Notamacropus eugenii: one gene and its partner. The protein of the gene in region 1 purifies or fractionates together with the protein of each later gene. This does not show direct contact. Links are inferred from orthologs where the notes say so. Each region holds a gene or a part of one and is shown in the gene's direction. Other genes may lie near its edges.

Region 1 (7,262 bases):
ATTTTCAGGTTGGTGGTTCTGGGACGTAAATAGCAGCCTCCCTTTCCCGCTGAGAGCGATGATTAGTCTGGCCCAGCGTGGTGGGCTTTGCTGCCCCGGGCAGTGATCGGTTTTCTCTGTCTGCTTGTTTTGTTGTCTGATCTCTAGGCATGGGTGAGGATCCTTGCTCATCTCCCCGACGTATTTCCCCAGGCAACATGAGGCTACTCACGGTCCTTCCCTCCTCGACTGTTGATGCCTCCCAGGAAGAAACCCAAAAGTCAGTCCCGGAAACCACAACTGGCATTCCGAGAGGGGCCTCTGGAGGGTCCCATGCATCCCTATGGATCCCCACAGCCAGCCGCAGCCCTCCCAAGGCATGCTCGGGTCAAACCAGTAGATCACCAGACCATCACCTCTTGGGTAGGACCAGCGAGTTCTTACACTGGGTGCTTTGGGTACGAGGTGACTCATATTGTGGGTACTGTCTTTGACCCACATCAGGAGGAAGGTCACTCACCCACTTAGTGGTACACAGGAGCAAGAGGCCCTAATTCCTAAACCATAACTCCTCAACCAACTGCTCTTCCCCTAAGTTGTAAAAATGGGCAGTTGCTGAGAGAAGAGCTAGATAACTGGGGGCTGATCAGGAAATAGCCAATCAGAGGGAGAATTGTTGACATTTAGACTGGCTTTACTTTGCCCTGCTATTCTTTTTAAAGAGCAGTGACTACAGTGGGGAATTTTGGGACATTGTGTTCATTTTCTTGCTGGAAGGTCTCATCCTTCCCTCCCTACCGTTCATTCATCCCCCTCCCCCCCCCCCCAAAAGACTAAAGAGTAGTCTGAAGATTCAGTAATAATGTGCTTTTGCTTTGGTGTTCCCTTGTTACTGTTGACCTTTAGTGGCTGGCCTGATAAATCAAGACCTTACCTACACCAATTAGCCAATAATACCTTCAGGAACACTTGAACCCACCTTTTTCCTTTTCTCTCTCCCAACCACTGATTCAGTCAATCAGCAGGCATTTGTTAATAGCTTTTATTAAGTGACAGGCACAGGGGATACAAATACAATTAATTGAACAATTCCTATTTGAGAAGTTGTTTATATTCCAAAAGATAAGACAATATGTACATACATATATGTGTTCATATCTTTCTAAACATACATATGCATTCACATGTATGGATATGTAGAATACAAAGTAGTTAAAGACTAGTAGTTTAGTAGGGAGGGCATTAGCATTAGTAGGGGGATTTGTACATGTACAAGGTGGTGCTTGGGCTGTGTCTTAAAAGAAGAGAGATTCTAAGAGAACAGATATGAAGAGGAATTACATTCAAGGCATGGGGGCAGCCATGGAAAAGCATAGAGATAGGAGATTGTCTTGTGTGAGGAACAGAGGAAAGGTCAGTTTTGACTGGACTGTGGGAGGGGGAGTGTTCACTGAGGCTGGAAAGATAGTTTGGGTTCAGGTTGTGAATGGCTTTAAAAGGTAAAGTTAATATTTTATCTTAGGGGCCATAGGGACTTGCTAGATAGAGTTTACTGAGTAGGAGAGTGACAAGGACAGAAACAAGATTCTGAGCATTCTTAAAAATGCAGGGTCTGATGATAAAAGTAGCGGCATGATATAGAGAAGAGAAATGTATTTTTCTTTGGTCCCAGATACTGTATGTTCTTCTTTAGATACATTGTTTACTATCTAATAGCCTGCTATAAAGTAACACCACACACTGGAAAGTTTTAACATTCTGAAGACTCCAGCTGAAAGAGTTTTGGATTATGTTGTGAGAAAGAAGTAGAAGTTAAGAGCAGGGGCCAATTTTGGACTTCAGCTTCTGCTTAAAGAGTGCTTTAAAAAATGACTTGTTAGAAGTTGTTGGAAAAGCAATAATCCATACTCCAGGAATAGGGTAGATACCTAATAAAAATAACTCACAAAGTTTTATATAGTGTTTTTCTCATAAAAATCCTATAACTTCATAGCAGGTTTCAAACCCAAAGCTCCTGATTCCAAGTCTGGTGCTCATGCCTGTAGAAAATGAGCTCATTTTAATGTGGATAGGCTCTCATTTTAGAAAACTTGAGCATTATATCTGTGGCTTCTTGAATGGAGATGAAGTAATTTCCAGCAATGTTTGTGGTTCTGGGCTGACAGCTTCTGTTTGTTTCTTAGGTGTCTCCTCAATTTGAGAAAACAGGAGACTGGTTGCCAGTCTACCAAAAACAACATCAGGTGCCTTACAATCTTCAGAACCTGGCAAAAGTTTCTCGAAAAGCAACCAAGAAGAGGTTTCCACCTCTGTCCTTTGAGAGTTCAGTGTCTTCTTCCAGTGAAGCTGCTTTGGACAATCTCTCAGTTATGGACTTCCCTATACAGTGTCCAAAAGACACTGCCAGAAAGTCCTTGGTTCCTCTATTGAGTCCTCAAAGCTGTGCGGAATTGTCCTCTCATGACCTTCAAAATTCAGGTTACATGGTTATCCCACCTGATATCCAGACCCCAGAACAGTCCCCTGTGAAGGACAGTGGGCATATTCCCACAGACCAGAGGCAGCATATGAGAAAGAGCTGCCCTCTCCTAATGGATCCTCCCAAGAGCCCAGACCCTGGCCCTGTACTGGTTGCAGACACACCAGAGGAGAAATATGGGCTGAAGGTAACTTGGAGAAGACGGTATCAACTTCTTACTTACCTCAGGGAGAAGGGGAAATTGAGCATGAGCCAGTTTCTTGTGAAGACATGAGTGGAACCTTGAAATACTGATTCCTTTTTACCAATAACTTGGATCCAGAAGGGCAGAAATTTACATTGCCCCATGGATGGTTTTTATAGTGCTGCTAAATCCAATTTCTGGCCCTTGAAGAGATTAAATCAATAGACTCAAGTGTCATTTAGAACCTTTGTGGTCCTTCCTGTTGATTTAATAGGGAACCAAAAGCACCAGAATGATTATGTGAACTAAAGCTGAAGTTCCATAATCTGTTTTTTGGTATTGCTAGTTACTGGCATAGTATACACAGACCATTCTTTTTATATTTTTCCTCCTGATATTTATCCAGTTTAAAGGTAATTCATAGCAGATAGAAGGGAAATGGTTATACAATATTTCTAACAAATTGTAAATATGCACTTAAGGGTGGGAAGATAACTTTTAGAAAATATTAAAAATGTTTACAAATAAATGCAGAAAACTGTTAGTGAATGCTGCCTCTTTTGTTTGTAGTAGGCCAGTATTTCATACTTAACCAAATGCCTCCACTCATTAGGTGGCATAAGTGCCTGAAGAAAGGAAAGCCCCTAGCTGGTCAGGAGAGGGCAAGTTTGGGGTTCTTCTGATAGACTGAAGAGCTCAAGGTAGTCTAGGGCAGGTCTAAGACTGAGCAAAGAAAATTCTATAAATGACCAGAGGAAGAGCAGGTTTAGGGCGGATGGAAGGGAAGGGAATAAGCATTTATGAAATGCCTAATATATGTGCCAAGTGCTAAGCAGTAGGACTTAATCGTGTTCCAGTTTTCCAGGGTAGCGAGATTTCAAGAAAGTGTTATTTCTTCTTGTGCAAAGAAAGCTTTGCACAAGGAATATCCTTTGTCAGACAACTACTCTCATTTTGAAAGAGGAGAAGACAGGGGATATGGGTTTAATTTACAAACATTCTCTCATTTGAACCTCAAAACAACTCTTGGAGGTAAGTGTGCTATTATTCCTGTGTTACAGTTGGAGACACTGAGGTGAACAGGTTAGGTGACTTGCCCAGGGTCTCAGAGCTGTCACAAGCGTCTGAAGGCACGTTTGAACTCTGAGCTTCTAGATCCTAGACGGGCTAGACCTCCACCCACTGGACCACCTGGATAGGTCTTTGCCCTCTTCAGAGTAGGTGTTTCGGAGATGGGCGTAGCGGTGGGCCCAGATTCTTGGTAGCCCAGAGGCTAGTAGCAGAGCTGGTGGGCCGCTCCCCCGGACAGGGGCCGCACCTAATCCCGCCGCAGCGGGCTGCGTCGTCTCGGCTTGGCCACGAGAAGAGAGGCTGCTCTGTGGCCTGCTGGAGGGCGAACTGGGGACGCGTGGAAGGAGGGAAGACTACGAGGTCTGCCACCGGGGTAGGTGTTGCCCCAGTTCCCGTCCTTTTCCCCACATCCCAGGCGCGTAACTCCAGGGCCAACAGCTCCCACGCAGGCGCTCTGCGCTCCCTCGCCCCTTCCCCTCTCCTTAGAAACCCTCCCGCATCGCCGGACGGGAGCGACAGCCAATGAAGCGGCGGCGGCGGCGCTCCGGACCAATGGGGGGTGGCGGTGGTGCGGGGTCCGGTTGCCAGGGGGCGGGCGGCGGCGGCGGCGTCTGGAGCCGGGGTCGGAACCGTCGGGACTGGATGCAGCTCCCGATTGCCGAGCGGCTCGGGATGGAGGCGGCGCGCCACAGACTCGGGCCCGGCGGGGATAGGTCAGCGCTGGGTAGTGGTCGGTCTCCTCCTGGGATCGGGGAGAACGGAGCTTGGCTGTGGAGGTCGGGGCTGAGTGGTCAGGCCTGGGGGTCGAGGGCCGGTTGGGCTCGCGGCGGGCCTGGAGGGAGGGAAGGGCGCGCCTGGAGGTGGGGAGCCGGGGGGCCGGCCGCGCTGCCCCCACCTCGGAAGCTGCTCCTTCTTGCCCCTTCTCCGCCCCAAAAAGGAGGGGTCCCATCTTCTTCTTCTGCCGGCACTAGGCCTCATTTTTTTTCCTTATTGGAGGATAAAATGAGGATCTGCTTTCAAGGGATGCTGTATCCAAATAATATCAATAAAATCAAATCGAATGTGTTCATTTTTGAGGACATCGAGGCAGAAGTGTTGTTGGGTAGGAGCTAGTAACTGACCCTAACTTCCATGTTTTGGGGACGTTACCAGGAGGCTGAAAGTGCAAAATTAGTTTGCAAATACAAAGTATTCTTAGTTCTGGATTTTTCGAGATCTTTGTATACAGTTTGTGCGTTACCTAGAAGCAGTGCTTTTCTGTTCATTCTCTTCCAGCCGCCCCTCTTTTCCGTCTCCATCAGAGGGAGAGTTGGGGAAATAAAATCATCTGAAATCTGTTTTCCTTTGTTTCACACACATTCATATATAGCCTGTCAGTTTGCAAAGAACTTTTCCCATAACAGTGCTGTGATGTGGGTAGTAAGGATTAATTACTCCTATTTTACAGATTAGTACAGACTAGGTGTTCTAAGATGAAGTGGTATATGCTTGGTCTTCAATTCTGATGCTTTCCACTATGCCAGGTTGCTTTTTTTTTTTTATAAGGTGTTGAGAGGGCAGCCTGAAACTTGAGAATGTTGAAATCTTTAGGGAAGGACATTAAGCTTATTTGTAAACCTAAATGAATGTTTCCTTACAGATAAAGATCTGGTCAGTATAAATTTTAATTCAGTGCAGTCAGAGAAGTTGAATACTTCCCCAACAATTTCTCCTTCCTTTCCAAACACACTGATTTCTAGGGAGCTGTGGATTCAGCAACTTTGGGCAGTAAAGTAAATAAATTAGTGAACAGATGTCAGAGAGTACATTTGGCTAAGAATGGAACTCAATAAAAGAAGATGGGTCCTTTCCCGCGCCCCTTTATTGAGGGGTAGGTACGAGGTATGTTCTAGGTATAGTAGGTGTTCAAATATTTATTCAATAAATATTTAAATACTCAAGGATCTTTGATTTCATTTGGTCTAAGTACTCCACTGATGAAGATGACAACTCCTTTCACTACTTAACGTAAATTATTATGTTAATGATGAGTTGCTCTGAATAGACATAATGCTCTTAGGAAAGAGTAGAGAGGGAGAGACACAACCCCTTTTTTAGTCAAGTTCCATTCATTTGGTACTCTCAGAAACCTGTTCACTGATTTTATTTATTTTACTGTTCAAAGCAGCTGTATCCACACTTTTTTCTTCTCAGACTTCAGTGTGTTTGGAAAAGGATGAGAAATTGCTACGGTCATATTCCATTTCTCTGATTGCATTTATTGAGTGAATGCAAGATACTACACATATAGTAGGTATTCAAATATTTATTGAATGACTAAAACTTCAGGCATATCTAATGTCATTGTTGTGAGTGTTCCCTCTGTTGATGTAGATGACAACTCCTTTCACTACTTTCTTTAATAATTTATCCTAGTGTAATTCTGTGAGTAGAATGGACTTGGTATAACTAGAAAAAAAAATGTGTTCTCATCTTGTGTTCTGGTGATGAACTTTTCATGACTTAGCTAGACAGACATCAGCCTGCTGGATGGATTAAAGTCTCACTTGGAAGAACCTGCTGTGCTGGAACCAAGGTCATCACCCCCCACCCCTAAGCAGGACTTTGGTGGAGGATTGAATAAATGAAGGAATGAATCCAAAATTTTGTTACGTGGGTATTAGTTAATGTTTTATATGACTAATGGCTTTTAAAAATAGGCTTTTCCGAACCAGTAATCAGGAAGCAAAAAAAAAAAAAATTCCTTGAATCTGAAATCTAAAAAATTAATTTTTAGAAGGGTGAAAGGGCAGGCAAGAGAGAACATCAAGAGAAAAGAAAGCTTTTGTGAACAATGTGGGGAATCTCCACTGGAGCTTAAGTTTTCTTAAAAAAAAATAAATCTTACCTTTAAAAATGAAAACTGACATCAAAAGGTAATTTTTCAATCAGGTAAGTTTTTGTTTCTACCAAGTAATAGCAGTATAGCTTCTGTTACTGTTGAGTTCATCTGTGACTTAGAGAGTGTGAATTCACTTTGATTTTTAGGTTTCAGATTTTTTATTTTTTATCAAAGATGTGGACAAAGAAATGCTTTTCATTGTAGGGGTAATAAACTGGAGGTAGGCTAGGTTCAAAAAATTACAAATGTATATTAAAAGTATGGGTAATCTGTAACTTAAAATTTGTATTTGTATCTATTTTGCCTTGAAGTGGACATGTTCTTTTAATAAATAGAAAAGTCTTCAAAGCAAAGTAAACCTTCCCTAAATCTTAAATTAGAAGCCAAATTTGTGATTTTGATGGGGATTAAATCACAGGAGCCATTTGGGAATTGACTATTAAACTTCTTTCTTATGATAGGGCTTGGCAGAACCATGTTCTTCTGATGAAAGAGAATATCTAGAAATCAGTTTTAGTTGTGGCTCATTTTCAGACCTGAAAATTCTTCCATCAGCTATGATTTCTCTTTAGATGTTAAAAATAAAACTTCAGTTTCTGCTCTTATTTCATCCAAAGCAAACTTTTTCATTTTCTTTCTCTTTCCCTTAGTCCCTCAGAGTTTCATCA
Region 2 (8,075 bases), on another chromosome or scaffold:
GCAGCAGCATCAGGGGCAGGGGCATGGGCAGGGCAGCAGCAGCTGCAGCAGCTTCTTCTGGAGCTCTAGGCCCACAGATTGTGTGGGGATCGAATGGCTGACAGTACACCCCACCCCCACTGGAAGCAGAGAACTACCCTAACAAAGAGCTCAAAAGTCAAGTAAAGACCTGGGGAAATGAGCAAAAACTGGAAAACAAAATCAGACTATAAAATATTACTTTGGTGACAAGGAAGACCAAAGTATACAAACAGAAGACAACAAAGTCAAAGCTCCTCCATACCAAGCCTCCAAGAAAAATATGAATTGGTCTCAGGCCATGAAAGGGTTCAAAAAGGAGAAGTAGAGCAAAGATTGGGAAGAATGAGAGTGATGCAAGAAAATCATGGGAAATGAGTCAACTGTTTGTTAAAGGAGACCCAAAAAATGCTGAAGAAAATAATACTTCAAAAAATAGACTAACCCAAATGGCAAAAGAAATCCAAAAAACCAATAAGAAGAATGCTTTAAAAAGCAGAATTAGCCCTATGGAAAAGGAGGTCCAAAAGCTAACTGCAGAAAATAATTCCTTAAAGATTAGAATGAAACAGATGGAAACTAATGACTTTATGAAAATCAAGAAATTGTTTTTAAAAAGCCAAAATAATGAAAAAATAGTAGACAATGTGAAATATCTCACTGGAAAAACTGCTGACCTGGAAAATAGATGCAGGAGAGACAATTTAAAAATTATTGGACTACCTGAAAGCCATGATTTAAAAAAAAAAAAAAGCCTAGAGATCATCTTTCAAGAAATTATCAAAGAAAACTGCCCTGATACTGTAGAACCAAAGGGGAAAATAGATATTGAAAGAATCCACCAATCACCTCCTGGAAGAGATCCCAAAAAGAAAACTCCTAAGAATACTGTAGCCAAATTCCAGAGCTGTCAGGTCAAGAAGAAAATATTACAAGCAGCCAGACAGAAGCATTTTGAATATTGTGGAAATACAATCAGGATAACACAAGATATAACAGCTTCTACACTACTGGAGGGCTTGGAATATCATATACCAGAGGTCAAAGGAACTAGGATTAAAACCAAGAATCACCTATCCAGAAAAACTGAGTATAAATACATTGGGGCAGGGGGAGAATGGTCATTCAACGAAATAGAGGACTTTAAGAACATTCTTGAGGAAATGAGCAGAGCTGAAAAGAAAATTTGACTTTCAAACACAAGAATCAAGAGAAGCATGAAAAGGTAAACAGGAAAGAGAAATCATAAGGGACTTACTGAAGTTGAATTATTTATATTCCTACATGGAAAGATCATATTTGTAACTCTTCAGACTTTTCTCAGTATTAGGGTAGTTGGTGGGATTATACACATATAGACAGAAGGCACGGGGGGAGCTGAATAGGTAGGGATGATATCTAAAAAAATAAAATTAAGAGGTGAGAGAGAAATATATTGGGAGGAGAAAGGGAAAAACAGAATAGGGCAAATTATATCACATAAAAGAGGCAAGAAAAAGCTTTTTCAATGGAGGGGAAGAGGAGGGAGATGAGAGGGTAAATGACCCTTACTCTCATCACATTTGGCTTAAGGAAGGAATAACTATGCACACTAAATTTGGTATGAAAATCTATGTTACACTACAGGAAAATAGGGGAAAAGGGGATAAATGGGGAGGTGGGAGGAATGATAGAAGGGAAGTCAAATGGGAGAAGGGGGTAATTAGAAGTAAACACTTTTGAGGAGAGATAGGGTCAAGAGAGAGAATAGAATAAATGGGGGCAGGATAAGATGGAGGGAAATATAGCTAGTCTTTCACAATATGACTATTATGGAAGTGTTTTGCATAATTACACATGTATAACCTATATTGAATTGCTTGCCTTCTCAGTATGGATGGGTGGGGAGGGAGGAAGGGAAAATAGTTGGAACTCAAAGTTTTAAAAACAGATGTTAAAAATTGTTTTTACATACAACTGGGAAATAAGATATACAGGCAATGGTGTATAGAAAACTATCTTGCCCTACAAGAAAATAGAGAGGATGGGGATAAGAGAAGGAAGGGGTGTGATAGAAGGGAGGGCAGATTGGAGGAAGTGGTAATCAGAATGCACACTGTCTTGGGGTGGGTGGAGGGGAGAGACGGGGAGAAAATCTGGAACTCAAAATCTTATGGAAGTATTTGTTGAAAACTAAAAGTAAATAATTTTTTTAAAAAAGTATAGGCTTGAGTTTATGAGAATTAGCACCAGAATGGTGACTATGTGAACAGAGAGATTTTACATACATATACACATATATACCTATACATATATATGTATACACATCTGTATCTTCATATTTACATGCATGCTTATATTATGTAAGCTTAGGTACATGTAAATATATTTGCATATAAACACATACATGTCTGAACATAGAGGTCTATATACATGTGTATATGTATGTGCATGTGTACATATGTGTATATAATTATTTGAATATAGCAGGAATTATGAACTCTTTCTTCTGAAAGTAAGGATGGTCTACCCTGTAGAAGGGGCTTTGGTGGTGGGAGCAGAAAGAAACTACAAAACATAGTTAGAAAGGGGTCTAGATACCTTTAGCCTCAACAGTATTTCAATAGTTACCTTTAGGGATCGGAGATGTGAGTACTCCCTTTATCATCACTGTCTGCAAGCCATCCATGTCAGCTATCCAATAGAACTCTCACCCATGCTGACTCAGAAATCCTCCTTAGAAGCTAAACCAATGTGCTAGAAGGCTGACTCTAGGACTTTTGCATTCTGCAGCAACTAGTGCAAGATTGAGGCCTTCCAGACATTATCCTTCCCTCTTGCTACTTGACCAGACAATTCTCTTTCTTTTCTGATGATACACTTACTGGATAATCTCTCTTAGGTCACTCTTTGTGCAACAGCCACTGCTGGAAATATTCTAGTGCCTCTTTACGTCCACCACAGAGTGTCCTTTAGCTCATCAACAATTTTTTTTTCAGAGCTTATGCTAGCAAATATATACCATCATGAAGAGAATGTTGGTCTTTAAAAGGATGAATTTTTTTTTTAGGAAGCAATCTGGTATCTCTGAAAGCACATCATAATAATTATATATGTCTAAATGTGGCTCTCAGGGAGGAGAGAACAGCCAGCATGACAGTTTGGGGAAAAGGGAAAAGCAGTAGATAGATAGAGGAAAGGAGAACAAAGGGAAGACTGCAGCATAGCCATGCATGGGCATTCTTTCCTCCAGTCCCCAAGAAAGAGGATAGATACTAAACTTGAATTATATCTATAATTCCCCCAAATATTGCTGATTTAAGGATACATAGGTTCAGAACAAACCAGTCTTCCTTGCCGCTACCCCTTAAAAGAGGAAATGTAACCCTTAGTTTACATTCACTAATTCACTTACATTCCTTCCCACAAAATGCTAGCTATACAAAAAAAAAAAACTGCAAATAGTGAATAGCAAGTAAACCCATTCATTAAAATAAATAGAAAACAGAAATCATAGAAGTTACATAGATTAGACTATACAGAAAAAATACAGAGGCTCCAATTTTACCTAAGGGGAAATTTTCTGTAGTCTCTAGAGAGGCAAGTTGGAGATCAGAGAAATGTTGAGAACCAGCTTCCCCTATAAACATAAATCTTCTAAAGTCTTTCTCTCTCTCTCTCTCTCTCTCTCTCTCTCTCTCTCTTTCTCATATGTGTGTGTGTGTATATATATATATATATATATATATATATATTCCCCACAATCATTTCCTCCCATTTTCCATGAAATCTCTGCATCCATGTCCTCCCCGCCATCTGGATAGCAGTTGCCCCCAGTAGCTCTGATTCTCCTTCTGAGGAAGGATCCTTAGCATTGAGACATACCACTCCCTAAGGTATTGTTCTTTCTAAGCATAAAATCTCTACAAATTATACCCATTTAAGGCCCCCATTTACCATTACAGAATAGTTCTTCTCTCTTCATGGGAATACTTTACAGTGGGACTCCTTTTCACCACTTTTCACCACCACCCCTTTTCAGCCCTTCAAATACTTGTAGGTTAAACATCCCCATTTTCTTCAACCAGTCCTCCTACAATATGATCTATGGCCCCTCAACATTAACTATAAGACATTTTAAAATGTGCAAGTATACATTTAGAAACTGAAAGATTGTGATTAAGGTTGGAGTTAGACTAATAAAAAGAGTTTAACTCTTAGAGGAACCTGAGAGTTTGAAAGGGTACATGGTGGATGGGAAATTATTAAAGTTGGCTGAAGAAAATATTCTTCAAGATGCTTGCCTTAGTAATAATCAGAACATCTATCCATATACAAATGCGCAAGATCATCCAGAGTTGCACTTAGTGAAAGGCATACAAATGTAAAACGATCCACTCTCTATGGGTCTCTGTCCTACCTCACTCTCTATACCTCCAAACTAAGGTTAATTCCTGCTCGTCCTAGGCGGAGATTGTTATACCCTGGAGTTCGGCAGGGAAAGTGTTGATCCCCCTTTACAAATGAAGACACTGAGCCTCCAACAGCTAGGCATTAGGAGCCCTGGTCTTCCAACCATAGAGCTCTGGTGAGCAAACGTGAACACAAAGGCACACGGAGGACAACGTCCGAGACAAGGCGGTCCTCACCCTCCGGTGACCGTCCAGCGGGGGAGACCGAGGCAAGCACGGGGAGCTGTGTCCGGGAGACACAGGAAATAAGGCAGAGGGGGAGCGCTGGGACCAGGGGAAGGCTGCTCGTCATGTTATCTATCATCATTATTATAATTATCATTATTACTGCTATTATTTAGGCAGCTCTTAATAAACATCTCTTCTTTACCTTTCTCCCTCAAATCCCCGCCTCCTCGCCCTCCTTGGGATCCGGAGCCAATGGTTGGGGCTCCAGCTCGGGAGGCGTGTCCTGGTCTGTGGGCCGCGCTCAGGCTCCTCCCCGCGCGCTCGGGCTCCTCCCCGCGCGTGCCCCTTCTCTCCTCCTTCTCTCCTCCCGAGCCCCGCCCTCCCCGCGCGCGTCCTCGCTCCAGACCCAGAGCGAGGCTCCCGGAGGCGACTCCTCCTCACCCTCGGAGTCTGAGGGAGGCGGGAGGAGAGGAAGCTGGTGGGCGGGCCTTGGCCCAGCGGGGTGGGCGTGTCTTCGGCTGGGCCTCCTGAGGGAGCTCGCCCGTTTTTCCCGTTTTCTCCGTTGTCTCGAGAACCATGGACGCTCAGGGTCTGAAGGTGAGCGAGGGAGTCCCTGAGAAGGGGGCGGGGGCTGCGGTGAGGCCCGCCGCGGGGCGGGGGATGAGAATGAGGAAGGCCCAGGGGGCCGTGGAGGCTGTTGGGTTCCGGGCGTGGTGCCGGGCCCGTGGGGACCCCGCGGCTCCCCCCTCCCCTCCTCTCTACCCCCAACGCTGGGGTCACCGTAGCTGAGTCTGACGGTTGGACCGTCCCGGTCCCTTCTTCTGACCCCGAGGCCGCACGATGCCCTGGTCTCTCAGAGTGAAGTGGTTCAGATCCGTTCAGTCCACAGTTATTATGCGCCTACTGCGTGCGGGTAGAGCCTGGGATGTCGAAGACGACCCGGGGTCGGGTCCTGGCTCTGGTTCTGAATGGGCGTGGGCCGGGCTGACTCTTCGATGTCCTGGCTTCTGGAAGGGCTGAGCTCCGAGTGCCGATGTGGCCCCTGTGACGGTGCACGCAGCCCTCGGTCCTTTGGCTGCCTCTGTTTCCCCATCTGTACAATGAGGACAGTTCTAGGGTTGTTGTGAGGATCGAATTGGGATAATTTTTTAAGTGCTTTGCGAATTTTAAAGCACTGTATAAGCGATCACTAGCTGTTGTTATCAGAACCATGGAGGGAGCTTCCACACCAGGATGAATTCCCTCCCAGCCCCTGTCGGCACTCTGACTTCTCACTCCTAAAATGTGTGTTTGCTGTTGAAATGTAACAGAATGAATGTTCCTTTAACATCGGTGGATTTCCTGTACAGCCTGTTGGGGATTGTCTAATTGAGAGGAGGGAGCTAATTCCTCTTCTCCTAATAAAAAATAAAGAATGTGTTTGAGTAGAAGGGGAGAAAACGGGTTGAATTCTGAGACCATGCTTAAACACCAGAGGCTGGTTTAATGGGCCCTTTCCTTCCCACACCTCCCATTTTCTTCTCCCAATTTAGGGCTGCGCAGGTCTTTCCTCAAGCTTCCCTGAGAAATGAGGGTCATGAGGAGGGGACTGAGATTAGGTGTAATACAATGGGATGTGTTATGTTTGGCAGCTGGAAAATCAAGCAGTGTAGATGCAGTCTAAGGATTGTAGCCGGTATTGTTCCCGCCCCCTAGGTTAGAGATAACAGGAATGAGAAGGATGAATGTTCTGATAAATTCCTTATGTGCAAATCTAGTCACATCCCTCCTCTGCTCAGAAACTTCCCATGGTTCCTCACTGCTGCCAAGTAAAGTTCAGGTTCCTCTGCCTGGCATTCAAGGCCCCTTTACAACCTTAGGCCAACATACCTTTTCAGCCTTTTTGGACATGTATTATGTTGTATTAATAATACATGTATATGTACTATGTATTATGAACATGTATTCTTAAGTCAGCTTGTCAGGTTCTTCCTTGTGCTTAGAAGGCATCTGACATTAATTTTGCTTGGCACCATCTCACATATACTTTAAATGCCACTTTGAAGCCTTCCTTGATCTCTAAATTCTTATCAGCTTCCCTTTACAGAGCTTTACTTTGTAATTTAATACATGATATTACAGGATGTTTGGTTGATTCTAATGCCGTTACTAAACAGTAATCTTCTTTAGTGGATTATGAAATTTGGGGGAGAGAGTACAGTGTTTCTGAGAACCAAGCTCAGTATCTGTATTAAGAGTTTCTTCTTGTTATTTTAGATAATTTCATCTGTGCTTTAGATTTATTAGTATAGCCATGTCTTGTTTATCCATTTATCAGTAGGTGAGAATTCTCAAATAAATCCTTGATCTTTTATCCTTGTGGATATATTCCCTCCAGTGATACGGATCGTAACTCCTCCATGCCGTTCTGTCAGATGTCCTTCTATGTGTAACACATGCTGAAGCATTTCCTCAGTTTCCCTTGCTATAGAGGAGATAACCATTGGACCTCACTGGTCATTCAGCAGGTTTTTTTTTTCCTTCCCTTCCCTGGATCTAGCCTATATTTTTGTTTTTATCAGATATTTCTCTGATGATACTCTTTCTTCTGGGTTTTATTCATAATTCATTAGTGTAATGTATTTCATCCTCACAGCCACCTTGTGCTTCTCCATTGCAGTCAAAGTGATTCACAATCTTAATTCTTCCAAGTCTGTAGTGTTCCATGATTCAGCCACATGTTGACACTGGTAAAATATTAGCAGTAAACACATAGACCTTTATCTTATGGAGAAGTTTGAGGTCATTAATGGAATGCTATAATTTTCCATAGGCAATCCAGTGGATTCTCTTCCTCATGTTCAATTCTGTACCCAACTTACCCATTTGCTGTATCTTTCCAAGGTACAGATATACTTAAGGACACTCTTTAGGTTGTCCTTCTAACTGTATATACAGTAAACATTGTTTATCCACCTTGTTTTTCCTGTACAGATGATTAGACAACACTTTTTTTTAGAGATTATTGGTCTCATCCAGGAAGCTCTTCATTGTTACGAGGCTTGATGCAACTAGTATGATATTATTCACAAATTGGATCATCTACATATCTATAAAAGCCTTTGATAGCTTCCTTAAGATTTTGTTTTGTTTTTGAGTACTGACATTTTCTTTTTCTTACATCACCCTGGCTATTCCAAGTACTCCTTCTCCCCCGCCCAAAGAGCCATGTTGTCCTTGTTGTCATCATTGCTGTCATTTTAGACTTATCTGACTCTCTGTGACCCCATTTTGGGTTTTCTTTCCAAAGATACTGGAGTGGTTTTCGATTTCCATCTCCAGCTCATTTTACAGATGACAAACTGAAGCACACAGGGGTTAAATGACTTACCTAGGGTCACACAGCTATTAAATGTCTGAGGTCAAATCTGAACTCAGGTCCAGTGCTCTGACCACTGA

The links. The genes of interacting proteins can lie anywhere in the genome.
Region 2: the proteins of TULP3 (region 1) and TTC21B purify together in Homo sapiens (affinity purification with mass spectrometry; 5 studies listed by BioGRID and IntAct, counting the BioPlex papers as one, with this or other methods). This does not show direct contact. The link is inferred for Notamacropus eugenii from reciprocal best matches to the Homo sapiens genes TULP3 and TTC21B.

The regions. Positions count from the first base shown.
Region 1 is NC_092874.1:202,994,417-203,001,678, reverse strand, and holds the start of TULP3 (tubby-related protein 3), read left to right. Parts: upstream 1-4,220; 5' UTR 4,221-4,235; coding exon 4,236-4,426; intron 4,427-7,262. Other genes in the region: RHNO1 (RAD9, HUS1, RAD1-interacting nuclear orphan protein 1), read left to right, coding at 235-402, 2,163-2,732. UniProt on the Homo sapiens protein: Negative regulator of the Shh signaling transduction pathway: recruited to primary cilia via association with the IFT complex A (IFT-A) and is required for recruitment of G protein-coupled receptor GPR161 to cilia, a promoter of PKA-dependent basal repression machinery in Shh signaling.
Region 2 is NC_092876.1:226,619,861-226,627,935, reverse strand, and holds the start of TTC21B (tetratricopeptide repeat protein 21B), read left to right. Parts: upstream 1-5,027; 5' UTR 5,028-5,213; coding exon 5,214-5,234; intron 5,235-8,075. UniProt on the Homo sapiens protein: Component of the IFT complex A (IFT-A), a complex required for retrograde ciliary transport and entry into cilia of G protein-coupled receptors (GPCRs). Essential for retrograde trafficking of IFT-1, IFT-B and GPCRs.